Lepisosteus oculatus: one gene and its partners. The protein of the gene in region 4 interacts with the protein of the main gene of each other region in a pairwise test. Links are inferred from orthologs where the notes say so. Each region holds a gene or a part of one and is shown on either strand. Other genes may lie near its edges. The genes, in order: kctd17, hsbp1b, eif4h and lnx1.

Region 1 (7,377 bases), on a different chromosome or scaffold from region 4:
AACAGACGGAGCCGAATTAGTGTCAGACTAATCGACAGACAAATACAGGTGCTTCTCCTGCCTGCTCCTTGCTCTTATTAGACAGGAAAACAAGGAAGAGGAAGAGGAAAAAGGGTTTTGGGGACCTGCGTGTAGGGTGACAGAGGAAGAGGAGGAGGGTGGGTTTTGGGGGATGCCAGACAAGCCCAGGACAGCTGATCAGACACCCCACTGACGCTCAGGTAAGGGGGGCGTCTGCGAGAGGTTCCCCAGCTTTACTCACACCCTGCTGCAGCACGCAGGGTCAAGATGCCAGTCCAGCACCCCGCGAGGAGAAACCGGTACAGGCCGGTCCTGTTTCCGCTCGGCAGGTTCCCTCCAGAGCCTGCTCTCCCGCTGTCCACAGACGCGCTGGTGCGGGCAGGGTGACCGACTCCCGGGAATACGGCTGTGTCTGTGCCCGTGTGTGACCGACCCCTGCACCCTCCCCACTGGTTGAACCAGACCTTCGATCCAGCCGTTTCCGGAAAGAAAGCCTGTTCCCCACTCCCACCGCCCTTCGCGTACAGAACTGCCGCCTGTTCTCGGTTGGAAAAGCTGTCCCCCGCAGCCGGGAGCGGGCTCCTAGCCATGGAGTGGAACGGCCCCGTCTGGAGGGCCTGCACGGCGCTTCCTGAACAGCAACCCCAGCGATAAGATCAGCTGCTGGGAAAAGGGCCTGTTTGTTCTGGTCTCTCGGCTGTTGTGCCTGCAGGACAGGACTGCGCCGCAGATCCCCTCCACACACGCGCTCACATGCACACACACGCACGGCAACAGGCCTTCTGCACGCAGCCAGAGAGCAGGCACGAGAGAGAGAGACCGCACGGACTCAGGTGGGACCAAAAGCTTCGAATTTCAGGAAAGCAGAGTTCGAAAGCAAGAGGCGAAGCTTAAGAGAGGATAAGGCAGGGGCTGAAATCGAAGGCCACAGTTTAAACAGGTCTGGTCTGAAGCACAAGACATTTATCCCAAGCGGGACGAAAACAGGTTCCCAAACAGCTGAGCGCACCTAACTCGGAAAGGAAAAGAGGGGAAGAGAAAGAGCTTCGTAAAATAATCCAGCAATAAAGCAGGATCCAGTTAGAGGAGAGGAGCGCAGTTTATCGTGCGCTCAGGCTAAAGGCGTATCGGGGAAGCCCAGGAGATAGACCGAAAGGAGGCTAAAAAAAAATAAACAAACATCCTTCCGAGACACAAACGGGACCTTTCTAATCACGCCAGGGAGCGGGCCGAGGTGCAGAACAAGGGTTTCAGCTCAGGTGTTCGCCGAGGAAGGAGGCAGCAGCACAGCCCCGGGCAGCGGAAGCACTCAGGTCTGTGTCAAACACAAGAGGGAGAAGCCCTAAGGTCACTAAGGCCCGGCGGGAGCCCGCCAGCTGGACTCCAGGAAACGAGAGGCGTCGCTCAGACGCCGCTGAGATCGCACCCCGAGACAGGGCCCGCACCCGGGACTGGAGAACCGCTCAGGCAGAGCCCACCCACAGGGAGGGCGCCCATCTCCAGAGCGGGGTCTTGTTGGGGGTCCCTGAACGAGCAACAACGGTCTCGATGAACGTCCATCTCCAGGAGCCTCGATGGGATGGGGATGATGGAGTTAGGGGGAGCAGGGGCCCTCAGCTCTTCCCAGTTTATATCAACGACCTGGATTCCAGTCCAGTTAAGTGAACGAGTCAACACTGGAGGGGAAACCTGCAGATTTAAGAGGAGTTCACTTCATTGGCCAGATACAATTTCTTGCACTAGGAATCTGTGAGCAGCAAACTAGAGAAGCCACAAATGAAATTCGAGGGGATCTGGTTTCTAAAGAGAGGCGACCCAAGAGACCAGCGGACTCTTTAGAGCTGAGCGGAGAAGACGGGGTGGACCCGAAACCACTATCCAGAACCCTCCCAGTCACCCACCAGGTGAATCCAGCGGACTCCTTCAGAGCCAGCAGAGTAACACCCGCTGCTGGCCAGGTGGGAACTGAAACCGTGTGGAATACCGTTTGAAACAGAGAACAGGAGGCAGGTCTTTACACAGAGGGTGGCGGGGGTGTGGAACGAGAGCTGGACCCCATTCCGAATTGTCGCCATGGCGGACACCCTGGTTTCCCTTCAGGAAGCAGGAGGAGATCCTCGGAGTTCACAACCAAACGGTTCTTACATGTAGGGAGCAGACGCACACCCAGATCTTAATCACGAGCACCGAGCAGCTGAGCCCCAGACACAAGAAACTCAAGTGTGTGTGTGTGTGTCACGGGGCAGCAGGCCGGAGGGAACCCGGAGCCCACCCCCACGCCAACGCCCACGCCCCGAGACCGCATGTGATTGTCTTTGTCGTGTGTCACGTTGCGCTACGAGGTGAAGATGGGGACACAGCCCGGGTCGGGACGGGTCGGGACAAGGTCAGATACCCCCCCCCAACACCCCGATCCGCCCCACCTCACCGTGTCGGAGTGCAGGTCCTGATGCTGACACAGCCGGTACAGGAAGGAGGTCTGCTCCTTCAGCAGGGTCTGGCGGGTGGTGAGGAACACGGTGCCGCCCACGTTCAGCCGGACCCACTTGCCCCTGCCGTTGGGGCCGCTGGTGCCGGTCCCGGCGGTCCCGGTATCGTGGGAGGCGCAGTCCGGGCCGGCGCTCCCGGGCTCCGGGCAGACCGAGGTCGGGGTCGCCGCCGCGGTGTCGCAGACCTCGCCGTCCGCTTTGGAACCGGGGTCGCCCGCAGCGGTGGCGGTGCCGGTGCCGGTACCGGTGCTGTTGCTGTTGTTGTTGTTGCTGTTGCTATGACACGCACAGGGGGGCCCAGCCTCCGCCGCGCGCTGCTGCTGCTGCCGGCACCCCCCGCTCCGCTTCTCCTCCGTTGCCATTTTGACGGGTTTCCCGAGACAAAAATCTCACGGCTCCCTCTTTCTTCCTTCCTTCCTTTCTATCTATCTTTCTCCCCTGGTTCCCTCTCTCTCTCTCTTTTTCCCTCCTTCTCCTCGCCCCACGCCTCCTCCCCGTGCCGTGCATGCGCAGACGGGAAGTGTAGTCTTTAAACAGCCCGTGCGCGGTGCATTGTGGGGTCTGTAGGCTCCCCACTGGGAACGCCGTCGTGTAAATCGGGGTTTCCTGCGTGCAGTCGAGTGCAGGCTTGAGCAGTCACCCCAAATCGCCGATTTCTAAAGGGGAGCATCTCGTCATTCATAATTCAAATCCAGCGAGTACCTTAATTTATACAGCTCTTGTCCATGAAGACGGTTCACCGTTGCTGCCCCTGGTGATCTCTGAATTTCTGGATTTCCAATTACATGCTTAATTGTTCGTTTTTTTTTACGATTGACACCTGTATCCCCAACATATTTCCCAAAACTCTGAATTCAACTGAGTTCATAAACATACTGGATCACCTTCTAACACAACTAAACTGCGATAACTTTCATTTTATACTTCAATTTCATATGATATATTGTTTGCTTTTCTCACGGCCTATGGCTGATTAAGGCACGGTAACCCCCAGTGTTGACAGCACGGTAACCCTCACCCCCAGTGGCACAGAGCTCTTATATTCCTGCCCCAGCGCGGAGAGCAATAAAACTCTGGACAGCTGCAGTTCAAGTCTGAGGTTTTTATTTGCAGATAAAAAAGCAGCTTAAACGAAGCCCCTATAACTACGACCTTCGTTCATGAGGTCAGTCAGGCGCACGCATGACCACAGACACCCCCAGTTCTCGGCTGGTCGGTTTGACAAAATGGGATTTTTTTTCAAGAGAGCGCGGACGCAGGATGTCACGACAGGCAGCCGCTGCAGTTCCTGGCCTCACGGTGCAGCCCCGAGCCTAGAAGCGACCCCCCCCGGTGGCGGGGTATCACGGTTCTGGGGCCGCTGTCTGCACCCCGGCGCACCGTCCTCTCCGCTTCCCACTCAACACCGCCGCCTAGCGGACACTCCGCGCAACCGCGCAATCCGACTTCACTCGGCAGGCGGCGCGTCAGATGAGCAGACGAGTTTCCCCCCACAAACACACACAATAATAATAATAATAATAATAATAATAATTGCTTACACTTATAAAGCGCTTTACAGGTCACGGGGATCCCCTCCACCCCCACCAGTGTGTACCCCACCTGGATGATGCTCCAGTCCGCTCCCCACACACCAGCTCTCAGTGGGGAGGAGAGCAGAGTGATGAAGCCAGTTCAGAGAGGGGGGTTATTAGGAGGCCATGAGGGGTAAAGGCCAGGGGGAGATTTGGCCAGGACGCCGGGGTAAGACCCCTGCTCTTTTCAATTCCTCTCCCTGATCAATTCAATTCCGACACCCTGATCCTCCGAGCAGCTGTCGGGGGAGGTGGGGGGCGCCTCGCACGTAACCCCCTCCCCGAGCCCCGAGTCGGGAAGGGAGTGACAGGAATCGGGAAGGAAAACAAAAATCAGGGAGAAAGAGAGAAAGTGATCATCCCAACCCCCAACCCCTCACCCCCCCGGGGTCACCGTGCAAGGGAGCAGGGACAGGAGGCGCAGACGGATGAGGAAAACAAACGGGGGCGCCCCTGGAGGTCTCCCCCTGCAGCCGAGCCAGCGGGCGCCCTCCTGACCTCACAGAGGTCACACAGTCGGTGTAGCGGGGCTCTGATCGCAACGCTGCCGCAAGAGGCAGGGGACACAGGAAACAGCCGCTCGCCCCTGCGTCCGGGGGCCGGGAGGGGCCGGGAGGGGCCGCGCCAAGACAGCAGCAGCCCAGCGCCCTGCTCGCCTGAGTCGAGCCCCGGCAGAACGAAGAGGCCCGGCCCAGGGCAGGGCGCCCCCTGGGGAAGACGCGCGGCGGCCTGCGTCTGCGCGGGGTGTCCGGCGGGAGGCGTGGGGGCCGATGAGCGCAGTCTCCGCGGCCTGTCGAGCGAATGCAACGCGACAGCGGCCTTCCGCGGGATCTGACCTTTAACCCCCCTCCCCCCTCAATCGGCGCACTGCACCGTTTTGGTGGTCACCAGGGCGGCGCCGCCGAGCTCAGTGGCAGGTAGCGGAAAGCCGTGCTCTTTCCTGCCGTTGCAGATGTACACCTTCAGACGCCCCTCCTCCTCCTCCTCCTCCTCCTCGCCCGCGGGAGAAGAGTCTGCCAGCGTCCGGGGCGCCTGCACACCGGCCGCCACCCCGTTGCCGTTCAGGTGTGGACAGGAAGTGGGCGGCTGGTCGTCCTCCTCGCCCGGGGGGGCGCCCCCCGCTCCCACCCGCTGCAGCTCGCTGGGGGGTTCTGCTTCCGGGTCGGCTGGAGGGGAAACAGGAAGCACGTCAGCGTCACCGCCCACCGGCCAGGTCACAGCGGCGTACTGGCCTGTGACTACACGTGCGCCAACGCGGGACCCCCGACCTGCCGGGTGGGAGGGCGCGTGACGCCGCAGGACCGACGAGCGGCCCACTCTCAGGAGACAGTGCGGGCCACAGGCTGGGCCGGGTCAGTACCGCCATGCGGGTCCTCTAGGGAAAACCAGGTTGCTGCTGTAATGGGTGTTAGGGAACCAGTAGGTGGCGCTTTTGCCTGTGGCCACTGGTGCTGGGAGCTGTGTCTTGCCCTGGGGGGGCAGCTGGTGCAGACTGGGAGCTGTGTCTTGCCCTGGGGGGGCAGCTGGTGCAGACTGGTTGCTGTGTCTTGCCCTGGGGGGGCAGCTGGCGCGGACTGGTCGCCGTGTCTTGCCCTGGGGGGGCAGCTGGCGCGGACTGGTCACCGTGTCTTGCCCTGGGGGGGCAGCTGGTGCAGACTGGTCGCTGTGTCTTGCCCTGGGGGGGCAGCTGGTGCAGACTGGTCGCTGTGTCTTGCCCTGGGGGGGCAGCTGGTGCAGACTGGTCGCTGTGTCTTGCCCTGGGGGGCAGCTGGTGCAGACTGGTCACCGTGTCTTGCCCTGGGGGGGCAGCTGGTGCAGACTGGTCGCTGTGTCTTGCCCTGGGGGGGCAGCTGGTGCAGACTGGGAGCTGTGTCTTGCCCTGGGGGGGCAGCTGGCGTGGACTGGGAGCTGTGTCTTGCCCTGGGGGGGCAGCTGGTGCAGACTGGGAGCTGTGTCTTGCCCTGGGGGGGCAGCTGGTGCAGACTGGTCGCTGTGTCTTGCCCTGGGGGGGCAGCTGGCGTGGACTGGGAGCTGTGTCTTGCCCTGGGGGGGCAGCTGGTGCAGACTGGGAGCTGTGTCTTACCCTGGGGGGGCAGCTGGCGCGGACTGGGAGCTGTGTCTTGCCCTGGGGGGGCAGCTGGCGCAGACTGGGAGCTGTGTCTTGCCCTGGGGGGGCAGCTGGTGCAGACTGGGAGCTGTGTCTTGCCCTGGGGGGGCAGCTGGCGCAGTACAGCCCCACCTATATGTAAGAACGCTTTATAGATACATAGGCTTCTTCTTCTCTTCATTAGTCCTCCTCCTCTGAGCACTGATGCGCTTGGCCACAGTGCTCAAAACAAGCACACGACAGGGGTGTTTATCACTCCTTCAAGTCGCCTGAGGCAGGGCCCAGCATTTCGAAGAGGCGACACCACGAACTGCAGATTCACAATTTCAGCCCTTCAGGTATGACCGGTCCCGAAGAATGAATCTCAAGGATCAGCGAATCAGCGACCTGGTAGAAACCGCTGGTCTGATTCGGGGCTGCATTCGCAGTTTCCTGGGACCGTCCTGTGACTGGCGGGTACAACCCCCCCCTTTCACTTCCTGAGGTCAGAGGTCAGCGCTTCCTGCTGGGGGGTCAGGACGGTATTCGCAGCGCAGTGGGAGGAGCAGCGCCCCCAGGAGGCTGCACCACGGGCGCCAGGCCCTGCGGGTTCAAGAGAAGGCAGAGTCTCTGCAGCTGTGGGTTCGAGCGGCGGGCCTGACCTTGCCAGGGGCCCCTCGCAGCAGCAGATGTGAGCAGGGCAGGAGATTTGGGTTGTCAGGGTCCCTAGAGACAGACTCTGAAAACAGAGAAACGGAAACCTTCGGGGTGGGGGGCGGGGGGTGTCACGGTTGGGCTGCTGCAGACCAAACTCACCCCCCCCCTCCCCCATGTACACAGACCTCACCAAACCCCACGGGGCAGAGAGACAGAGAGGGGCGAGTCAGAAAGAGAGTGAGCACGAAAGAGAAAGAGAGAACGGGGGCGGAGAAAGAGAGAAAAAGATCCGGACTGGGAGAAAGAGAACGAGACAGAGAGCAAGTAAGAATGAGAGAAAGAGAAGCGATGGAGAAAGGCAGGCAGATAACCCCCAGCGGGCCAGGTGCAGCGCTGCAGGGCCTGACGCAGACGCTCACCCGCGCCCAGGTGCAGCTCCAGCAAATTCCACTGTGGTTTGGAAAGGAGTTATCGAGAAAACAGCAGGAGCGGACAGTCGTAGTCCCAGAGACCCCCAGTCCGGTTTTATGGCTCGACTCTGCGTCGTCCG
Region 2 (7,470 bases), on a different chromosome or scaffold from region 4:
TCTTTGAAATGTTTACTTAAGCTGAAAAGTGAAACAAAGCTGAAAAAGACAAAAACCAAAGCAAATAGGAAAGATGGCTTTAATTCTAACCTTATGTGATCTTTGTACCCCGTCCTCTATTTTAAATACAGTTGAGCTCCTATTGTAAACGACAGCAGAACTGGTTTCATCCCCAGTCCCCCTGCAAGGCATCTAGTAAATGGCTGTGCTGTTTCTGATTTCCTTGAGGAAGGTGGGTTTTGTCGATGCCTACTCTCCATTAAAAGTCGTTACCTTTTTGGCTGACTGCGAGTCCGCGTCCTGGCTGACCTTATTCTCCCCTTCGATCTCCTCCACACCCGCCTGGGTCATCAGGTCTGCGATGTTCCTCTCCAGGTCATCAATGCGAGTGCTCATTTCGTCAAGTGCTCAGGTCAAGGAAAGGCTTCGTTTTTCAAAGAGTTCACCAGAGCTGGCAGCCACTCCCAGCACAGAGCACTGGGCACTGCCCAGTTTCCTACTGTCAGCAGGTAAGCACATTGGCGCAAAGTAAAAATGAGGTGCGGCTTTATTAAAGCAAAATCTGCCTCATTATTAATCATCACAGACACACCTCTTTAAATGATCGTGTTCCTCAGATATTACATCAGTGGGCTTGGATCACTAAATGATCCAACTATAAGACGAGAAGAGGTTATGTTTTTCTACTTTTTGCCACATTTTCATCATTAACCTGAAAATGTCATTGATGATCTTCATATGAAACTGAATGATAATGTATGCTGACCTAAAGCAAAGGATAAGAAGATCTGTACCGTGATAAAGATCTACCATTTCCTTTTTATGGAAAGCCTGCTACTGATGACTGTAACAGCAACCAGATTTTCCCCCATGTTAACTTAAACTAAAGCAGTTGATTACTTATGGGAATATAAGTCTTTATCCAAAACTGTCCATTCTAGGTTAGACTTGTAGGGACCCAAGGTATGAGCAACAGGATAAAGCATCCCTCTTCTGAGACCTGTATATGGCAAGATATCAGATACTACATTTGAATAAAATGACTCACTTTAGAATGAATAATTTTAAAATTAAAATATAAACATGATGAAACATGATGAAGGTTACAAATGAGGTCAGATTGTCAAATTCTGCTTTAAAGTAGAATACCGATCCAAGGATTATATTAATATCTAAAGATACTAGGGAGCAAACCTCATGAATATCACTGGGCAATATGTTCAGTACTTTGACAACTATAAAGAAGTGCCCCTTAATTTCAGTCCTAAAGACTGAAAAATAATGAAGCTGAGAACCTCCCTCTGTAGTTAAAAACATACTCAGTGTGGCCAGGCTACCAGTGTCCTGAGAGTGCCCTGCTTGTCCCCCCAAACTAAGCCTTGTTCTAACCTAATTAATTTGCTTTATTTTGGTAAGAGAATCATGTTCTTCCTATAAGTAAAAAAGGCACAAAAATGAATTCAGGATATTTCTTCCAATGATCTGGTCTGACATGGTCTGGAACTTGTCCTGCATCTGCTGAAGCAATGTCTGGACCTGAAGAAAAAAGAAGGAGATAACGTAATGAGGCTGTTCTTCATAGTGAAAAGAGCACACTAATAATAGAACCTCAAGCAAAAACTGCCATTGGAACGCTGTATCCCAGGAGTTCCTAACCCTAGTCCTGAGGGGAAAATTATCTTCTGGACTTTCGCTTCAGTTGAGATCCTAATTGCAGACTAAGTAACTGAGATTTGGTGTAACTAGCGTCAACCCTGTACTGATTCCCAAGTTTCAGAACTGCCCTTATTCTGGTGTATTCTACACAGCTGTAACCAACTGACCTCTGCAGAAAGAAAAGATGGCGTGTCTGTGTTCATCACCAACTGATCACTAGCAAGAGTCTTGTCTAGTTCTGTGGGCTAAAGTTGTGGAAACTGTACTCCTGACGTTGGGTTTTATTAACACTCTGGAATAACCAAAGAAGTTAAACAGAAGCCTGAACAAGCAAGCCAATTTGTGAAGTCATCGATCAGCACGGGAGATGTAGAGCTCAGCTGGCATGGAACCCAGAAGATAATATTTCTCCAGGACCAGGACTGGGCATCACTGCCGTCTCCTCTTCGTGCGTTTTCCTTGATGAAATGTTAAAATGTGGGAACTTTCATCACAGCACGAATGTGCCTGTTTAGGTGAACTGCGAGCTTCAAGCGACTTCGTAAACAGTACTGGCGCACCGGGCCGGCAGCGATTAAAACAGGCGCTAATTGCTGGTGGGGATGAACTGGTGCAGAAACTATGGTTACGACACAACACAGATGGCGTCCTCCGGTTAACGGCAATCTGGGTTTTACTCATTTATACACAGTGCCCAAACTTCAGTTTTAAACATAGCGGCGTCCGGGCCGGATCTGCACTACAGTATCAGCAGTAAAATGCAACCCGAATGCACTTCCGTTTAATATAATCACACGCGAGGGACTGTTAGAAGTCACATTTTAATCAGATGTTCATTTAGCCATTTTCTTGCCTACTCCATTTCGCAAGACAGGAGGGCAGGCATCAGGGGTGAAAATAACTGACCTCGAGCATCTCATACGTCCTCAATTAAACTGATCAAATACACACTGCTTATCGCGGTTTCAATCCTAATCTAAACACGCCTAATCTCGTTTTGAAGATGCCACATGCCAGGTGTTTGACGCCTAGTGAACGATACGGTTTTAGAGCTCCCCTTGCCAATTCAAAATTGCACAAACGATGAAAGTGGGATTTACAGTACATACACAGCAGCAATCAACAAGGCCCCGCGTCCCTTCGGAGAAACAGCTGCTTCCTTTTCGCACTTACCACAGCTGTAAGGTCCTGTACCGACTTCGGATCCGTTTCCGACATGTTCACTGATAAGGTGTTTTACACCTTCCACGCCTGGATATATTGTTTCTGTGTTGAAAATCCTCCAGAATATGAGCGATCACCACTAGCACCAGAGTGAACCAGACACAAACCGTGAGGCTTTGGGCGAGATCTCGCGAGAGCAAGTGTGCGCGATTTCACTGAGAGTGCTCATGGGATCTGTAGTTCTTCTTCTTCTTCTTCTTCTTTTTCACAGCCTTAGTCCCAGACTGTCCTGGGGTCAGATGCTTTGGTTGCTCTTCTCCACTTGTCTCTGTCGAGCACATCTTCCTCACTCACTTCACATACCTCCATATCTTTTCTCCCACAATCTATCCATCTCTTTCAAGACTTCTTGATGTCCATTATTTAAAACCCGGAGGTGAATAACATTTTGTTTAATTAATTAGCGTTTCGTCTAAGATCTAGAAAACAAATGTCACACAAGTTTCATTTTCAATAAAAATATTTCGTTTGTATCGTAGGGGCGCATTAACTTGTTCTGTATTTATTTTTCTGTTGTAATCCATCTGACCAAAGGGTGCATGCAAACATGCAATATAAAATACAAAAAAAAATGTTTTCCTTACTAATGTCCTCATATAGATCATGTCGGTAATTCATAAAAAGATGAAGAGAACGTCTGAACATACTGGACACATTAAAGTGTAGAAACAGGAAAAAAGAATGCACTTTTATGACCAAGTTGGTTAACGTTATAAATCTAAAACTGTGTATCAGGAAAGAAGAAAAAACAGAATCATTAACAGCCTCAAAGTTGTACGAGTTAAAGGAATTTAATATTTTTAATTTCGAACCAAATCAAAACGTAGAAATTTATTTTAACTAAGTAAGGATGACTGAAAATTACTGTTACTTTGAGCTCTTTAACGATCTTATTTGTAATCTTATTTAAAAAAAGAATAACGAAGAATGTTACAATTAATATGCTGGCTGTATAAATGATATCTCTTCAAGGAGGGTGCTACATGTACAGTAGTTTGTGAAGTATGTAAAAAGTCAGATTGTCAGAGTCAGTTTGATGGGAGACTTCAAGCTCAACAATGAGACAAACACTTGAAAATCAAAAGTGGAAATGAAGAAATCAAGCGTGTACTATATAGATTTAAAATACGATTCTTGACTGGGAAGCTGTGTCAGCGTGCATTATCTGCAATGGAACATGTAAAGGTTCATTTCAGACTGAAAAGCAGAAAGAAGAAACAATAAAACGATTTTAGAATTCTGGCCGTCACAGAGGACAGTCACCACCCCGGGCATGAGCTCTTCACCCCACTGCCCTCAGGCAAGAGATAAAGAGCATACGGACACTTACCACTAGATTCTTCAATAACTTCTACCCACAAGCAGAGCGATTGGCGAACACATTTGGCCATGTCCCTCGGACCACACCTACACCATCTACCTCATTATAATTTCTTAATTATTGCACATCTCCAGTCATTGTTTACACGTCTGTATTGTTTACATTCAAACTGTTTACTTGTTTACTTGTACATTGTCTACTGTTTGTATATCGTCTTGATGCACTGTCTGCACTGTGTTTTTACACTTGTTTTAATAATCAAGAGACTTTCTGTAACTAAGAATTCCATTGTACCAGTAAATGTACCGGTTACATATGGCAATAAAGTTCTAGTTCAAGTTCACTCACAAACAAAAAAATGTTTCTTGTTTCCACATCTCATTGTGGAATTAACCTTTACCTGTTCATTGTGAAGCATAAAGTAGTTCCAGAGGCTGGTCGTCTTAAGATTTAATAAACACTTGTGCAAAAACCCAAGGATATCTTTGACTCAGTCAGGGACCACAATGTTTATAGAATGTACCTCACTTCACTTGTGATTTTTGCTATTGCAACAACCTCTACCGTTATTGATAAGCTTAGTTTGAGTGAGAAAAAAAAACTTATCAGTCAGGAACATCTGTAATTCACATTGACCAGAATCTTGAAGAAAAAGACGATTACAACAGCTCAAGGTAAACAACTTAATAGTGTTTCATTGCGTTGCTCAAAGCAGTTTGGTAAAGGTTTTTGCTATAAGTGTAGCAAAAAAAAAAACACGTCACAGTTCTCCCATTATCTTTGCAAACAGGCTTTTTGTGTAATGTTACATTTTTTTTTTCAGGAAGGGTGGTACCATTGTATCTCTTACTTTTCCTGAAAATGAAACCGAGACATTCAGCATGCAATGATGCAGTTCTCAAATTCTTACCTTGTGAGTAAAGCAAACGAGTTTTAGGTCTTTCTCAGGATAACCACGTGAGCACGCCAATCCCACAGGAAATTCACTTCTTCATCGAGATCTGCGGATATTTGCATGTAGATATTTTCGTTGAGTTTAATGTTTTTACACTTGTAACATGTATCTCGCAGGTTTGAGTTCTCAACTGATGGGCTGATATGTTTTATTAGGTTGTAACACCGCACAGGTAAATATGATTTTCTATTTAAATAGGAACAAATAACAAATCACTTTAAGGAGAAGCGACAGCGTTGACTGTTTTCTTTAAACGTGGATATTCAAAATTTACAACTCCCCCTTTAACAATTGCATTTTTAAACTATCGGCGAATCAATGTTAGGTTCGTCTCTAGCAGTTATAATGTTATTTGATTTATTGTTTTTTAACGCCCTAATAAAAGTCAAACTCCACTAAGAAACTTTCAAAGAACTAAATTTAAGTGAGAGTTGCAAATGACACACGAATGATAACAGTCTTGAAGTAATATTAATGTTCCTTTATATCGCAGGAAGTGTCTTGGCATCGCTGTGGCAGCTGTCAAACGAGTCTTCGCCTCACTAAGGTAAGCAGTGTTTCTTCTAAATCCCCGCGTTTCACTGCAAAAAGTAGCACTGCAAACAGTACTACACGATCTGAAATAACATTATTTTCGTTATTAAAATTACAATACTGTCGAATTGAAACAAAAGTGCTTTTTTTTTTCAAATGTTGTGGGTTTACAGGCACTAGCTTTGAAGTTCCTCAAAGCGCTCCGTACAGCAGTTAGCCTGAAACTGAATTTAAACTTTACAGCCCAGCTACAGTGTATTGCGGGCATAGAATCTACGGAGAACTGCAAAGGATTAGATAAACTTAAAATAAAGCCGGTGGTACCTGGAAAATTACAGGTCGTAAGCAGAGGAAGTTACATTAAAAGAGACAGAACACATAAAGATAAAAAGTAAAACGCGTGCGCTTAAACGGTGAACGGTATACTGCAAGTTTGTTTTTGTGTTAGTGTTGATACGTACTTTTCGTGCGTTTGAGTCGAATGACTGTACATTTTTAATGGTTGCCAACTAAGGCAATGTTTCGCAAGCAACTCGGCGTCCCAAGCAGGTCATCCCCAGTATCTGTATGAGTTCATGGGAGATTCTAATCTTAGCTGCAGATCCATTACTAAGAACCCATTTAGAGAAAGTGTATCCGGTTTCGTTCACCCTGTGGGACAAGCCCACTGATGCTGGCGGTGACCACCCACCTTTGCAACGAGCAATGCGTGATTTATGTGGGCGCTGTAGTACGCAGGGTGTTGTGTAAAAAAGTTGAATGAAATGAGCAAAGCTGCACAGCACCGAGCATTCCAAAGAATTATTGGTAATCAGCAACTGTGGACACCTGGAAATACGCACCTGCTGTTGAATAAGCTTTTTATTTACCAGAGTGGAGGAGGATAGCACAGTTCAGTTATACAAGGCTTTTAAAAATTATTATTTCCTTAAATTAATGATTTTCCTTTTTCATCATGCAGTCAAACTCACGCTTTGCTGAAAAGTAAAACTATCAAATGCCATGTTCAAATCACGGCCAGTTTTGTACGAAATCAATACTTTGGTTTTTAAACAATTCACTGTCAGAATGGAGATATGGAGCATTCTAACAAGTATGTCACTATAGAAAGAAATCACCTTTATAAGAAGACTTAATCAACTAATCTGACAAATTATGATGAATAGAGGGTATTTTAGCAGTTTTCTGGCCTCTTCGTTTAAACTAAGCTTTTTGAACTTGAGGTGTAACCCATTTGGTACGGTATTTCAGTTTCAATGCCTCGTGTTTCACAATTCTTAAGTAAGCCATCTTTCTTTTTGAAATGATCAAAACATTCGCTTGCTAAATACAATGCATATATTTCAAATGCATCCCCTTCAAAAATATAGTGTTTTGCATATCATGCTAATAATATAATGCAAAAAACTGTTTTAGAATTTATTTGTGTATATTTAAATAGAGTAGCAGATGAGGGCTACAGATAAGATGTGGCTATTTATCAGTTTGAGGTAATACATTGACAGACCAACCTAAAGTAACACCTAAAAATAAAGCTTTTCTAGTAAAATTCGACATGCTCTGTGTATGAAGTGGTTTTCAAAAGAGTCACTTTTTCTTTCTACTGTAAATACCACCACTGTTTTCATTAAAGTAATTCCTGTTGAGGCCTGTCTAATACGGAGCATAGCTTTTGTAAATGACATTTAAAGCAGGATTAAGGCCTAGAGCAGATGTGTCTCATTAAATTTGAGAACACGTCCTCTCAGGAATTCTCGCAGGAGATTAGGTTTTGTGGAAC
Region 3 (7,133 bases), on a different chromosome or scaffold from region 4:
TGTGTGGAAGCCAATGCTTTCAGTATAATTGGCATTATATTATTATAATCTTAATATAATGCCATAATATTATATCTTATTTACTTACATGCTTCCACTATTTTGTCAATGATCTACATATTCAACTGTGATATTTATCAAAAAAAGATCAGTTCCAATCCCATGTGTTCTATCATACCTTACCAGCCAGCCACTCAAATATACAATAGTAACACCTTCAAACAGAAGTAGAAATCTTTAACAACTACATTATTCAACTCATGCAGCTCAAAGGAAGGTGTACTTAAATCTGCACAGCATGATCACAGCAAGAAAAGACAGCTCATCTTCCAGAGCTAGAGATTTAAAACACACTACCCACTGTCTCCTTTGTGCTTTTCTCAAGGGGACACATCTTGCACAGCAGAGATGCACTGAGGAAACCACCCTAACAGTACTTCAGAACCACTGCACACCACATAGTCTACACAACACTCAAACAAGCTAACTAGTGTTTGCAGCTGCCCTGCATGGAGCTAGTCAGTCTGTGAGGGGTATCAAAAGCCTATTGTGAGCTCCAGACCCCTTATTTATCAATTCTTCCACAATTAAGTCTCTTCACTGGTCTCTGGTACAGCCCCTGTTAGCCCTACAAAGAAACCATCTCAATGCGATATACTGACTTTGAACTGGGTTTAAAAGAACATTTGGAAAGGATGAAAACAGCCAAGTTCACCGAGCCTCATCTTACGGTAATTTGTAATCAATCATGACATCATTTCTTCCCTTAAGCATTATAAATACTGTATGTATTCATACTCCTTCTCTCCCTTGCATCCGTCTCCTGTATCCCTCATCTCCACCTCTGCCCCTTGGTCACTCCTCACTCCGCAGGGGGTCCCGGCCTCCTCGTCCTGTGGCCAGCCCTCCACACAGTGGGTTAAGACAAATTACTGTAACCTTAAACAATCAAATCTTTTAATATGTCTAATTCCTGACTGTTGTTATTCCCAGTGAAATTTAAAATAGAGATTTTCAATAGCCTTGCTAAACATGTGCAGAAGTAAAATAAACTTTTCAGGATTAACTTCTACTTGTTCCTTTGCAACTTGCTTACTGACGCAGCTTCCTGCACAAACCTTCCCAGAAAATAAAGAAGTCTCAGGTAAAGATGGGCTGAATAAAACCGAAGGGATCTTAAGTCTTGAAAAGAAAACTGCAGTAAAAGTGCCAATAATGGGAAAGCATGGCAGCCTACACACCATTGTGCTGGCCAAGCCATGTGACATTGACGCAGTGTAGTGCAGACGGATGGCTGAAGATCAGACAGTGTGCCAAGATCAGAAAGAACTGTGACCAGAGATTTCAAATCTCACCTTGCCTCTCTCCTGCTCCATCCCACTCTACCTGATTTAAATCCTGGGCTGAATCGGAGATTCCCAGTGTGAAACCATTGTGATCCGATTCCCACCCTCCACTTGCAAGTCTAACTGAAAGTGAAGAGGTGGTTAGTAAATGTGCCAAGCTCAGGCCCGAACCATCCGAATGGCAATGACGAGTGCAAGCCTCCTGGTCTCTGGCATCATTCCTGCGCCCCTGAGTCATCAGCAGCTAATAAAACCCCTCGTCCAAAGAAAGTCAGATTTCAGGTGAAAGACTGCTCATCTACAAATGAAGCTACCCACCACATTTTAGTACATTTAGCAAACCCCACCAAACAGCTTGTAAAAAGCAAGAAACATTGTGTCAATGAACAATTATAAATAATTATTTATGAGTACTTAAGCAATTTCTTTCACAAAAGATATTCCTATGAAGTTACCACCAAAACTCCTAATGCAATTTCACTTAATATTTCTGATCATAACTAAGAATTCTAAGATCTGGTTAAAAAATGTAAATTTACAAAAGTGTACTGCAATATGCTTGCAAGAAGAGTATAAAAACACTTTTCACACACAATACGAATGACAACGAGTTAATTTAAATTCCATCTCAGTTACAACCTCGTTCTACTAATGGAAACTCAGGACTTCCACAAACCACTCTATTGCTAACCAGCCTCGTTTCTGCGAAATTACTTTTACCAGCTACTTTATGTTAGTATTTCCTGAGGGACACTACTGGTTTATATAACAAAATGAATAATCGCATGGTAATATTTGTTTAGGTATTGTGGAAACAGGGCCGCCCACGGAACAGGAACCCCCTTTGTGAAAGGGCAGTTTTCTAGATTTAAAGTAAAAAAAAATCTGATTTATTTAGCATCGGACGAAAAAGGGGGGGGATATTTAGTGTTCAGACACCTCATATTGCAGAAGAATCATTTCATATTTGTTAAAACGTATCCGTCTAGCAACATGGACAGCACAGAATGTAACGGATACTGATTTTTGGGTGGAGAAACGGGACATCTAGCCGAGTTTGTATAGCTCCGGAGAGAGCAGCGGGCTGCGCGCAAGGGCGAGTCTCCTTCACTCCGGGGTGCACCGCGCCCCCCAGCCCCGGCACCCACATGTGGCGCTGCTCTCCCGGGCTCCCTGGCGCCAACTGCCCCGCTGGCACCACGCTACAGCCCGGCTCACCAGCCGCACAGCTGCACGCCGCCGATCCAGCTGTAAAATCGCTACTACTCCGAAGTTAAAAGTCAGGAGCACATTATCGCGCTTCCATAATTTACAGTTGGGGGTCTCGGATGCATCACAAATCCCAGCGATTTCCTAATCCACCACACCGGCTCCCCATTCATCCCAGCACGTCTCCCACACCGTCCCCCGTCTCCCCCTGACAGGCCTACTCAAGTTGGACCCCGAAACCCATCGGGGCATCTCGCCCCCACACAGCACCACTTTCCTGGTGCTGGCGCTGGCACTAAATAAACATCCTGTTCCCATGGCTGTTTTCTTACCCCCTTCCACCTCCGAAGCTGCCGTAAGCCCGATCCCGGTCATCGTAGTTATCGTAATCCGCCATTGCAGTCTGTGCAGGAGAAAGCAGGCAGGAGCGTGAGGACCCGCAATATAGAGCAGGGCAGGGCTGTCCTGGCCGCGCCTGGCCAAAAAGCGACACCGCGACTGGGGTAGGAGTCCACAACTCAGTCCTGAACATTAAAAAACAAGAAATACAACACATCCCAATATTTTAAAAGCAGCGATTCAAATGTTTATTTGGTTATTGATTTGTTCTAACGGCACACGTGCCAAATGTATATCAGGGAAAAAAACATTCAATGCACTAAGAAAACTCGAAATGGTATTCCCAATGAGATTTTGTCTATTGTCGGTCATCTTTCTGGACTCAAGGTTTAACGTGTCCGGTTTCTTAAAATAAGCTTCCTGTCACAAATAATATTATTATCATTATAATAACGGATTCTTATTTATCTGTTCTCATTGTTCTAACAATTAAAGGTTTTAACCTGAAAAACAAACATTTCACAGCCAAAACCAAGACTAGAAAACTGTTTACATTTCTCATTAATAGAAGGTATTTCTAATAATAATGTGATTTTTTTCTTATCAGTAACAGTCGGTTCCAGGACAAATGCATCCAAAATTGGTGGACAAATTAATCCTGTGAAGGAACAAGTAGTTTGGTACCATTGGAAAGAAGACATTCAGCTTTGCAGCCAGCCTACACTGATGCAAATCCTTAATTGAAATGAATTAAATATGTGTAAGTAAAAAGGAATGAAGAGCAGTTGGATAGGAAGCTTTTTTAAAAATTCAGGAGATTTCCTGCTTGCTTACTGGAAAAGAAACTGAAAGTCTTGATGGTAAAGGGCCTGCTATTACCTTCTATTTATGATAGTTTCATTTTAAGATAGATAGATGGATAGATACTTTATTGATCCCGTGAGGGAAATTGCAGAACTGTACAGTACAAAATGAAGCGTGAATTCTTCAAGTAAACCTGACAAACACATAACAGGTCTGAGGTCCTGTCCACCCAGTATACTTAAAACCCAGGGGTAGTCTACAGCTCAAGTCTATCTACAGAGTAGGTCGTATCGAGTGGTGTGCCTTGTCAGAGGTGTGGAGTCTACACATTAGGCATGAACAAACTTCACTCTGACTAGCCAAGACACACTACTACACAGGGGACAACCTCAGCAAAGCTAAGTAGAACATTTTAAGGAACAAGTAATAGGTTTATTCCATGCTGAAAAGAGAAGAAAGAAAACACAACATTTCAGCTGTGGAGCCTTCTTCAGGTGTATTTTAAGTACTGGTTTAAAGATTGGTTATGTAGTGGAGGCATTGCCTGTATCTGGAAAAAATGCATCTTTAGATTGCTGCTATGTTTGGCTTTAATTTTTAAAATATTTCCAGATATAATAGAGCCAGGTAATTAATTGTATTGCTAGTGGCAACCCGGTTATTGTTTAACTGTATATGGGTTTAGCTTTGGACTCCATTTTGCACCTCTCTGCCCACGGCCTGGCAGATTCCTCTGCAGACACTTCTCGTGCAGAGGCCTCCTGTCCAGAGTGTTGGCTCAGCAGATGGTCTCTCCAGCCAAGGGGACACCTGCTCCTGGTTTCAAATCGCAGGCACAAGGGGACAGCCAAAGGCAAATGATTAAAAATCCACCCTTGCAAGTACAGTGAAGTTTTATCCGAGTCCCCATCCAGTCTGGTTAAACAAGGTAGTAATATAATAATGGTGACATGAAATATTGTTAAGGTGTAACTCAAGGGCATTAAAGAAATTCAGCCATGAAACACAAAATGACAGATATTTATGATAATAATTTCAACACAATGTTATAGTTAGCTTTTAAATATCATGATTACAGTCAGACACTTCAAATAATCCAAATAGTTTTATAATAAAACTGTTAATGCCATGCAAATTATGCAGTGAGTTATTTTAAAATGTCATTTTTTTAGACTTGCTTTTCAAATAAGTTCTAAAATTGCTGAGTCAGGGCCTTTTATTAATAGATTTCAAATGCCTTATATCCATATCTCCTTATGTTTAATCACTCTGATTTAACAAAAAATAAAAGATAAATTCAAGAACCCTAACAGAGGGTCTGGTGTGTCAGAAAATGGTGCACAATTTGTTAATTTGTTTCGGTATTTAACTGTAAAAAAGTACCAATAATGTGCACTCGATTTTTAACATCTACCCATTTTCTGATCACTTCTTCCAATTAAGGGTTGCATTGGAGACGGAGACTATCCCAGGAAGCAAAGGCGCAAGGCAGGATAACCCTGGATGGGACACAAGTCCATGGCGGTGCAGACACACACACACACACACACACACACACACACACACACACACACACGTACATGCACTTGCACCATGGTCAATTTTCCCTGAAGCTAATTAACCTACCAGCAGATCTTCAGACTATGGAAAGAAACCAAAAGCACCTGGATAAAACCCATGCAAATATGGGGAGAACATACAAACTCCACACAGACAGCACTCCAGGTCTGGAATTGAACCCAGAGCCCCAGCAGAGTGAGGCAATATTGCTAAACCCTACGCTATCATGTTGTCCTTAATTTATTATATTAAAAAGATATAACAGCTCTGGAATTACTACAGAACAGCACTTAGATATATTCTGTGAATTTACCTTACTCAACATCCTACATTGAGTGACATGAGGGAACTTCAACTTGAGAACTGAACCTTTTTGTCTTGAACAGAGGGGACCTCATCCAAATATTCAAAGTCATCAAAGGCACAGACAAGGCCATCCCAGAGGCAGTGAAACAAAAAGAGAGCACAAGTGGAAACTATATGGAAGTGCATTTAAAACTGTGATGAGGAGGCATTTCCTTACACAAAAGGTAGTGGGAGTATGAAACAAACTATTCTTTTTTGGGTGGTGCTAGTATTCCAGCCATCAGCCATGAATTCTTACTAGTTTGTGTTCACCACCAATTGCTCATTCAGGTCTGGTCTTTGTGTGCTGCCATTTCGTCTAAGTGTGTTATAACACAGGAGTTTCCAACTCTCAATAAAGCATATTACAATTTGATTTTTTTAATTTGAAAGCAAAGATGTTTTCAAAATATTTTGAAAAACTGGTAAGGAAGTATACAGAAAATGGTAAGAGAAAAAAACATATAGGTTTTCTAATGGAAATATTGCACAGGTTGCATTTCCTTGATGTTCTAATAACTTTCACTGATTTCTTGAGAGGCATGGGCCAACTTTACTAGTACCATCAAATAATGTAAATGGTATGAAGTTTTGATTATTCCGCATAAATTCTAAAATATCACATAAAGTTACAAAAAAAAATTTTTTTTTTACAAAAACTACAGGCTACTCAGTGAACACATCCCTCGGAATATCCACTGCCCATTTTGCAAAACATTAGGAAGTGTAATATTCATTTTAGGTTTAGATTTACTTTAATTTATGCCAGGGAGACAATATTCATTTTTAAAGCAAGACATTGAAGACACAACTCTGTAAATTTAAATATCTGTTATTCGAAGATCAAAACTCCCTACAGTACTAATACAGCAACTTCTCCTTCAATTTCCTGAATCCGTAACTCCACCCCCCGCCCAGCTGCGTGACCCGGAACACCTCACAATTCCTGCTCAGTGACGGCAGGCAAAGCGGCGTGAAGATATTTGTTAAAACTTTTTTTTTATTGTAACAATAACAAAAAAGTATGTAGTAGAGTACATATAGCGTCATCAAGGTCGTGAAACGTGCACCATTAAGCAGCGCGAATGAACCGGAAATGTTTGTAAACAGCCGAATTTCAATCAAAGTAAAAGTCCTCAGTAACGAGTACAGCAGCGCTCAGCAAAGCAAACACCTGCGTACTAATTTTTCTCTTTTGTTCTTTCCTTCATCTGATGGTACCTTTGTTCTATCACGTTGTGACATTTGTATGTATATACCCCTGTTTGTTGTATTTCCCTTTTGTGTTTAAAAAATAAAAACATTAAAACAAACCTGCGTAGTAATTTCGTCTAGGTTACTTGTAACTTTTTAACATTCTCTGGAATTTTTCATGTTTTTTTGTATTGCAGATCACCTCTACTGATGCCTACGTTTCGTTTCATTTACGCCCTCAAATCTGAAGAAGGTTCTGCAGCCGAAATGTTCTTTTCTTTTCCTCTCAGCATGGACTAAACCTTTACCTGTTCCTTTGAAGCTGACCCAGCAAAC
Region 4 (7,130 bases):
CAGCCTGCGCCTGCTGACGCAGCTGCCCACCTGAACTGTTTCAACCCTTAGTTTCCTAGACATGACCAGTGAGACAGCCCTGGGCAGGAGTGTTACAGCAAGCGGAAGACGCCGTGGAGATGCGTGTCACAGAAAGACGAAGAGGAAGGCCAGGGGAGGGCCTATGAACGCGGCGCAGTGCCTGCAGCTGGCGGAGCGCAGGTGTGGGGCTGCACCCTCAGACCACGCAGTGAGAAGTGGAGTTACAGTGAAAAACAAAGGTGCCTTTGTGAAAGAGCAAGATCACTCCAATTGTGTCTGCGCTCCGCGGGGCTCTTGGGAAGACAGCCTGTGGATGAAGGGTTTGTTTCCAGCCTGGCAGTGACACCAGACATTGAGCAAACAGGCAGAGACAAGCCAGGTTACTGAACAAGAAGAGGAAAAGGTACAGGAAGTGATCTACTGGCCCTCAAAAGCCACCTGAGGTTTAATTGTGTAGAGAGTATTACAACACTCTTGTTTTGGACAGAGAGATGGTTAGGAGTGAACGAGTGTCAGCAGACCGCGATGACCAGTTATGGAGGGCTGACAGAAAGTCTAGAGCACATCAAGAGCTTGCATATGACAAAGAAAACACTGAGCTATTGTTTTGTTATAATCCCTTAATTAAAAGCATCATATTTTGAAAAGCACAATTACGTGTTTCTGTAGCTGGCCAGGGGTGCTGGGATTCAGTTTCCACTTGCAGCCTGGCAGGGTGTCAGCCCAGCACGGAGACGAGGCCAGAGGCAGCTGTGGCTTGACAACAGCAGAGACCCACTGCACTGCACTCGAGCTTTCGAAACACCATTAGTAATCAGAGTGTGTGACGATCCTGTAGATAAGTCCTCTGTCTCAAAAATATGATGACAGGTCAACACTTGACATTTTACATTTTCATTATCCATCTTCTTTATCTGAGAAAAACCAACACAAAGAAGGAAACAATCTACAAAGTTGTAATTTGACTTTTAAAGTGTGCTCAGCACGGACTAGAACCTAGAACCTATTGCTCTGGCTGAACACTGACTCCCAATACAGGCAGTATAATTGAAAGAAACCTACAAATGACTTTTTCTGTCATTCAAGCTGTGCCTGTGGCAGAGCTTTTAACTCGAGAGAAAAAGGAGAACTAATCGAAAGCTTGCTTTAAGAAATATTGTGCTGTCTAAAAACAATTCGATAGTGACCAAAATAAGGGATAAAATAAATAGAAACACAAATGTTAGTTGCGTGCATAAAAGGATGTAATATAATTAATTGGTACTACATACAATTGAAAACAAATAATCACCACATTTTTTAAAGAAGGCCCAGAAAATGCTTTAACTGGAATTCTAGTAAATGGATTCTAGTAGCTCTGTGACCTATGAGCCAGTGGCCACACACAAAAGCAGTGAATGAACAAAGAGCCCAGTGTTGCAGAACATCTGAAACCTGTATAAAACATTTCCCTACTAATACAAAAGAAAGAGCTTAAAGTAACTCGAGCCACACAGAACAGAGGAGCTTCAGGAATGCCCTGCATTGGATATTCAATTCAGTTGCACCTTAAAATACAGTGCTCAGACAAGGATCAGCCCACACCCCTAAAGGAGTAATTCTGTCACGGTCGTTATGATAGGTTGCTTTCATGTCATTCATAGGGCTGTTTCTGAGTGATAGAAACTTCCCAGTCACGTAACTGAAAAGTAACCCTGGTAGACTGATACAGGTTGTGCATGACAGAAAGTTTCAAGTCCTGCTGCTGTGAACAGTGCAACATCCCACGGACATACTGTATACTTGGAAGCCACATGAGGCTTGTTCATAGCAGACAAGGAAGATACCAGTTTATTTGCATTTTGACAAGGTCTCATCATCGGGTAATGGGGTTGCATTGGCTTAAGAATCCTATGTAATGATACAAGTGCCTTTGCCATTGCACTGATAGCTCGACCTATTCCTGCAGGGGTTAAGGTCACTATGACAACCTCTGTTTCTCTAACGTCTGCAGCAGCCTGGAGCTGACCTGCGCTGTCGGGCACACAGCCCCCCAGAGCCCTGCCAGGCTCCCTCTCTGCACCAGAAGGCTGCGCTCAATGAGCTTGTGAAACAAGAGTCCAGGTGTGAAAGACCCAAGACAGGTGCTACATTTGCTGTCTTAACACTTGGCTTTTTTAAATGGCAATAAACAGGGATTTTTTCAATTATTATTTAGTTGTTATTAAAATTATTTTTACTGAACTACAACCAACCTACAAGCAGCATTCAGAAAGCCTCCTGAGGAATTGTTTCTTATTAAACATTGGCCTATCAAAGTCTTTCTAAAGTCATTAAATAAATATTTATATCAACTACAGACACCTAGATGAGAGACAGTCACACCAATATGGATTTTAAAACACTTTTTAATTCCAACTAAATTCCAACTAAAGTCCCACTCAATAGCAAAGGTTTTTCAATACAAAAAGCGCTGTGGAGGATATAAAATGCAAGATGGAAGAAAGGACAGGAAGAAGGTTAATCTAGATGAAATACAGCCCAGACAGTTAAGAATTTCAGTGAGTGAATAAAATCTAAAACACAAGTAAGAAATTAATCTAAAAACTATTTGGCTTTATTTGTCCTGGACAGAAAGGAAATAATTTAGAAAAGGTAGAAAGCAAAAACAATTCTGTATATTATATAAAGCATCTAATCCACCTATACCTGCACACACTCCCACAAATGCCCACTGTCCTTGAGTTTAAGTTTTCATTATGTATAAAGCATATTTAATTTCCTCGGCCCAGAAGACGCTAACAGCAGGTGAGCTGTGTCGCAGTCAGTGCATGTACAGTTACACAACTGCATAGCTCTACTTTAATCTGCAACAAATTGCAATGCACTTACCTTTAAAAGTTGTACCCAGACAAATTCAACCGCAACAGATTTGCCTCTCTGCTAATCCTTTAAACTCATTTTTTAGCTAAAAGGAGCATGGGCACACATTTTCTCCTGGTCGCAACTGCACACACAAGGAGAAGCAGTCATGCAGATTAGTCCTTGAAACTGAAACAAGTGTAGCAGAACGTCAGAGGGTTACAGCACGACCGCTGTCATTCCCACAGACTTGACCCCAGTGTAACCGAATCAGAATCTCGCACAACACGAGAACTACATATTTGTAGCCACGATCATGACAAGCTCCTGTAGGCCCGCATGACCCCAGGCAGTCAGAAAATGAATTCTGGACTTGGTGCAATGACTAAAATGGCCTTGTTAAGGCCTGTTTGTGTGTTTTTGTATCCGTTTTAATGGCAGATTTCAGGCTTAGTTGCCCTGTTTGGAATTCAGCTGTGGGACCTACTCGGATTCTGCTTTGAAAGGGGACTTCCCCAGCCATTAGTCATTGAAGAGTGACGTTAATTGTCTTATTGGCAGGTAGTGGGCTAATAATTCACACTATCAAGGATTCTGCGAACTTGCAAGATAATGAGCCAGGTCCTGGAGAGCCTTCTGAGCAGCTCAACGAGTGGCATGTGAGGGCATGCTAAATAAGTTGCCCTGGGAATTTCTTCTCTGAGCTGTTCTTTTTTATCTCTAATTGCATTTATTATTCTTTGGACAAAATTCAGGCTGGAACTGAATTTCTTGTGTTCAGCTAAAAGACAAAATATCTCACTTCCTCAAAGTTACAGTTTCTCTTATCAAACCTGGATTCACTACACTTTGGGGTAAAACAAGGTTTCCCGAAGCAGGGCAGAATCCAGGCAGTAACCATTAAACAGAGTATGTACACTTTCTAGGGTGTTGGCCAAACTGGAGTAGTAGAATTGCATTAATATCGTATGCAAACATGATACGGTACAATATGTACATGCTACGACTGTGCTGTTAGATTCTAGGGAAACCTGACTGCTTGAACCCCTTGATTCAGTTTTGCTGGAAAAGGGGAAAATCTGTTGAGTTGCAGTTACATCCAAAAATGATAGACTGCTGGAGAACTGCAATTTTTTAAACCTTTTTTACTTTGTTAATTTTATCGGGTGTTTTTTCTTTTCTGGAAGGCAGGAAGGGTTTTGTCTACTGCCCCCCTTCATAACCAGGCCACTGAATTCATTCAGCGTTTCAGTTTGGAAAGTAGCAAGTTACAACTTGTGCTAATTCACGTGCTAATGATGTTGTTGTGAAAGTCTGGAACAATCTGCCCAGCTGTACTGTTAAAGTTGATACCTGACTTCTTTCTGGAAACATCTGGATGAGATGCATGGATGGCTTATCTACTAACTACCAAGTGAGCGAGATGGGCCAGACGCTAGAATTCTGCTGGAGAATGCTGCTGCAACAGAGGTGGAGTTGGTGTCCACCAACCCTTTCCTTTATAATGGATCTCATTCACGAAATACAAAAGCTACAACACTGAGAAAGATACAAACTGCAGCTGCACTCCTCCCTGCTCGTTGTGGTCCTGAGGACCCATGTATGAAGTATAAAAAGTGTTTGCGATCGCACCACAATGATCTAAGGGGGTTTCAATGAGCTTTCAAGGGCTTCACAACTGTGTTGACGAGTGTCCTGAATATTTCATCTGTCTGTGCATTTAGAGACACTTTCATGTAGAAGGTGATATATGGATTTAAGGCATTATTGCTGCTGTTGCCTTACCCATGTTTAACGCTTCTATCTATCAACCACTGACAGTAAATCTTTGCAAGGGGTCCTTCATGAAGAATCAACAATCGCACATACAGTAGTCTCTGTACTGTATTCATGTATTCTGAGGTCAGAATACATGGATAGAATAAAGATACAAATAAAATGCAATTAAGTTCTTATGCTTCTGTGATATATTTCAGCAATGTCTCTTTTAAATAAAAGCTGTTTTAACATAACAGAAAAACAAAAACAAATTGCTTTGGCATATTTGGGATTGGAAATAAAGTTGAATTACGATTCATGGTTTGTATAAAGATGCATTAAATTAGTTTTTACACCTTCAGGTGATAGTTTGTGATCTCTTTCCGATTTACATTATTAGATAGGAAGAACAAAAGGGAAAACACCTTTTCCCACTGTGTAATTGTTGGGGTTTGTTGGCCTTTTTGTCTTGAAATATTGTATGTGGGGAAAAATTACTCCTTCACTAAAACAGGGGTCTAGTTTCTTCCACGATTTGTATTCACGGCTCGTGTCAAAGAGGGTTTTTCAGGACAGCCATCAAGAAATACAATTTGTAGTTGAATCTGTAGGATAAGATCACACACAGTACACCAGTAATAAATTGAATCTGTTGGATAAGATCACACACAGCACGCCGGTAATAGAAATGCTTTCTTCAATTATGCTGAAAGTGATATATACGATAACATCCTCACCTTCAGATACCAGTGCATTATGTAATAAATAATGACAAAAATAAACATCATATACTTTTTTAACCTTTTTAAATTTGAAGTATGCAGTAGTTTACTCTAATTGTATGGTGGGGAATCAGAAAGTGGAATCCTTGTTGTGAGTAGTAGAAAATAAAATAAACGTATTGTGATCATACTGTATATACAGTATTTACCATTATATATTCTGTTTGTGTCCTATACAGCTCTTCTCTTGCAGTTTCTGTGTGCAGAGACACGTAATGTGGAAGCTGTATTGTACCAAGCAGTAATTGGAAACAGATGTAAAATGTGTAATAGTGTCCTCAAGGTAGGACTATGAACTCCATGTGAAATTTGAAAATCATCTCACATTCCTTTTGTGAATAGCCTTGCCTTCTCTTTACATATAATGTCAGGTTGCTATGGAAGCATCCTTGAAACTGGTTTGCACGATAAAGATTTTTTAAAATTAATTTCCTTAAATTATAATAGTTTGAGTGCACATAAATTATAGATTGGGTTATGTCGTCTTCCAGCCTGATCTTGTCAGTTCTCAGAAGTTGAGAAAGGCTGGGCTTGCTAAGCTGGGCTGCTGCCTTAAGTGGTGTTTGGTGGAACAGTAGGTAGCTCTCTTCCCTTTGGGATACAATTTCCAAATCAATGACCCAGTGTAGTATAGGAGGTCCAGATGAGAAGAGATTGTTCAGAAGAGATATTAAACTGATGTCCTGACTACATGGATATTAAAGCTGTTTCCAATAGAGGGATATTAATCTTGGTGTCCTGGCTGAATACCACTCTGGCCTCCCTAAAGTCCCCCCTTAATTCATCTGGGAAAGCAGTTTCTCACCCATGTGGTTTGTTCTGTACTTCAAGGTATTCTCAAGGATGAAGTAGGTCCTCTTCAGTTTTGAAGCACTTTTTATTTAACCACATTACATGTTCATGAGGACCGCTAAAAACCCAAGAGAGTTAGTGAACTATTTAACATAATCTTGAACAGAATGAGGAAATGTTTGTTCAATTTTTATTGTTGCTTTTGTGAGACTCAAACTATGTGCAAGAGCAGTTGCTATTCCTATGAAAATGTTTTCATTGTATTATAGAAATTGTCACTTTTTTATTAATTTGGTTTAGCCTTTCTCAATATTCAGCTGCTGCAATGTTATATTCAGCTGTTGGAATTTAGAGCTTGAACTGTCATCGTGATCTGACACAGAGGAAAAGGCAACTTTTCAGGTCAGACTCAGGTCAAAGGAACATTACTAAAGTAGAAAGTGATTAGTTTTATATTTGTCTTAGTCCTTCACCTAGTTTGTGTAGCCTTAAAAAAGAGAAAATGACACATACATTTTTTATAGAATTCTGAGTTTTCCTTAATACTAATTTCACCCTGATTGTTGGTCAGTTTGTATAATGGATATTAAAATGTCAAAAACTGCTAAGTCTGTGTTTAATGTATTTATACATTATGTATAAAGTAATGAGAAGAACTATCTCTGCATAATATAAGAACTACATCCCCAGCCTGTTGTTGGGAACGCGCTTTCCTTCACTGCCTGAGAAAACATTACAACACACGACTGTGTGAAGGCTGAGAGAAAGATCTGGCGTGACTGCCTGGGCCACAGCACTAACCCACCAAGCCCAGAGGACGAAGTGAAGTTACGCCAGTAAGCTGTAAACTGTGGCCTGTGCCACATTGGGAATTTCACCCACAAAGGAAAGAGTAACTGAGTATCTTTATTACAAACAAGTGAACTATATGTGAGT

What was found.
Region 1: the proteins of lnx1 (region 4) and kctd17 interact in a two-hybrid assay, tested with the Homo sapiens proteins (2 studies listed by BioGRID and IntAct). The link is inferred for Lepisosteus oculatus from reciprocal best matches to the Homo sapiens genes LNX1 and KCTD17.
Region 2: the proteins of lnx1 (region 4) and hsbp1b interact in binary tests that used the Homo sapiens proteins (3 or more experiments, as listed by UniProt). The link is inferred for Lepisosteus oculatus from reciprocal best matches to the Homo sapiens genes LNX1 and HSBP1.
Region 3: the proteins of lnx1 (region 4) and eif4h interact in binary tests that used the Homo sapiens proteins (3 or more experiments, as listed by UniProt). The two-hybrid records come from large-scale screens. The link is inferred for Lepisosteus oculatus from reciprocal best matches to the Homo sapiens genes LNX1 and EIF4H.

Annotation. Positions count from the first base shown.
Region 1 is NC_090707.1:38,238,757-38,246,133, forward strand, and holds the start of kctd17 (BTB/POZ domain-containing protein KCTD5), read right to left. Parts: upstream 3,024-7,377; 5' UTR 2,873-3,023; coding exon 2,450-2,872; intron 1-2,449. Other genes in the region: uncharacterized protein, read right to left, coding at 4,940-5,250. UniProt on the Homo sapiens protein: Substrate-adapter for CUL3-RING ubiquitin ligase complexes which mediates the ubiquitination and subsequent proteasomal degradation of TCHP, a protein involved in ciliogenesis down-regulation.
Region 2 is NC_090715.1:14,340,632-14,348,101, reverse strand, and holds the start of hsbp1b (heat shock factor-binding protein 1b), read right to left. Parts: upstream 3,025-7,470; 5' UTR 2,875-3,024; coding exon 2,830-2,874; intron 1,537-2,829; coding exon 1,470-1,536; intron 510-1,469; exon of another isoform or gene 405-509; coding exon 274-404; intron 1-273. UniProt on the Homo sapiens protein: Negative regulator of the heat shock response. Negatively affects HSF1 DNA-binding activity. May have a role in the suppression of the activation of the stress response during the aging process.
Region 3 is NC_090721.1:256,162-263,294, reverse strand, and holds the start of eif4h (eukaryotic translation initiation factor 4H), read right to left. Parts: upstream 3,008-7,133; 5' UTR 2,953-3,007; coding exon 2,888-2,952; intron 1-2,887. UniProt on the Homo sapiens protein: Stimulates the RNA helicase activity of EIF4A in the translation initiation complex. Binds weakly mRNA.
Region 4 is NC_090696.1:78,409,254-78,416,383, forward strand, and holds the start of lnx1 (E3 ubiquitin-protein ligase LNX), read right to left. Parts: upstream 3,008-7,130; 5' UTR 2,893-3,007; intron 1-2,892.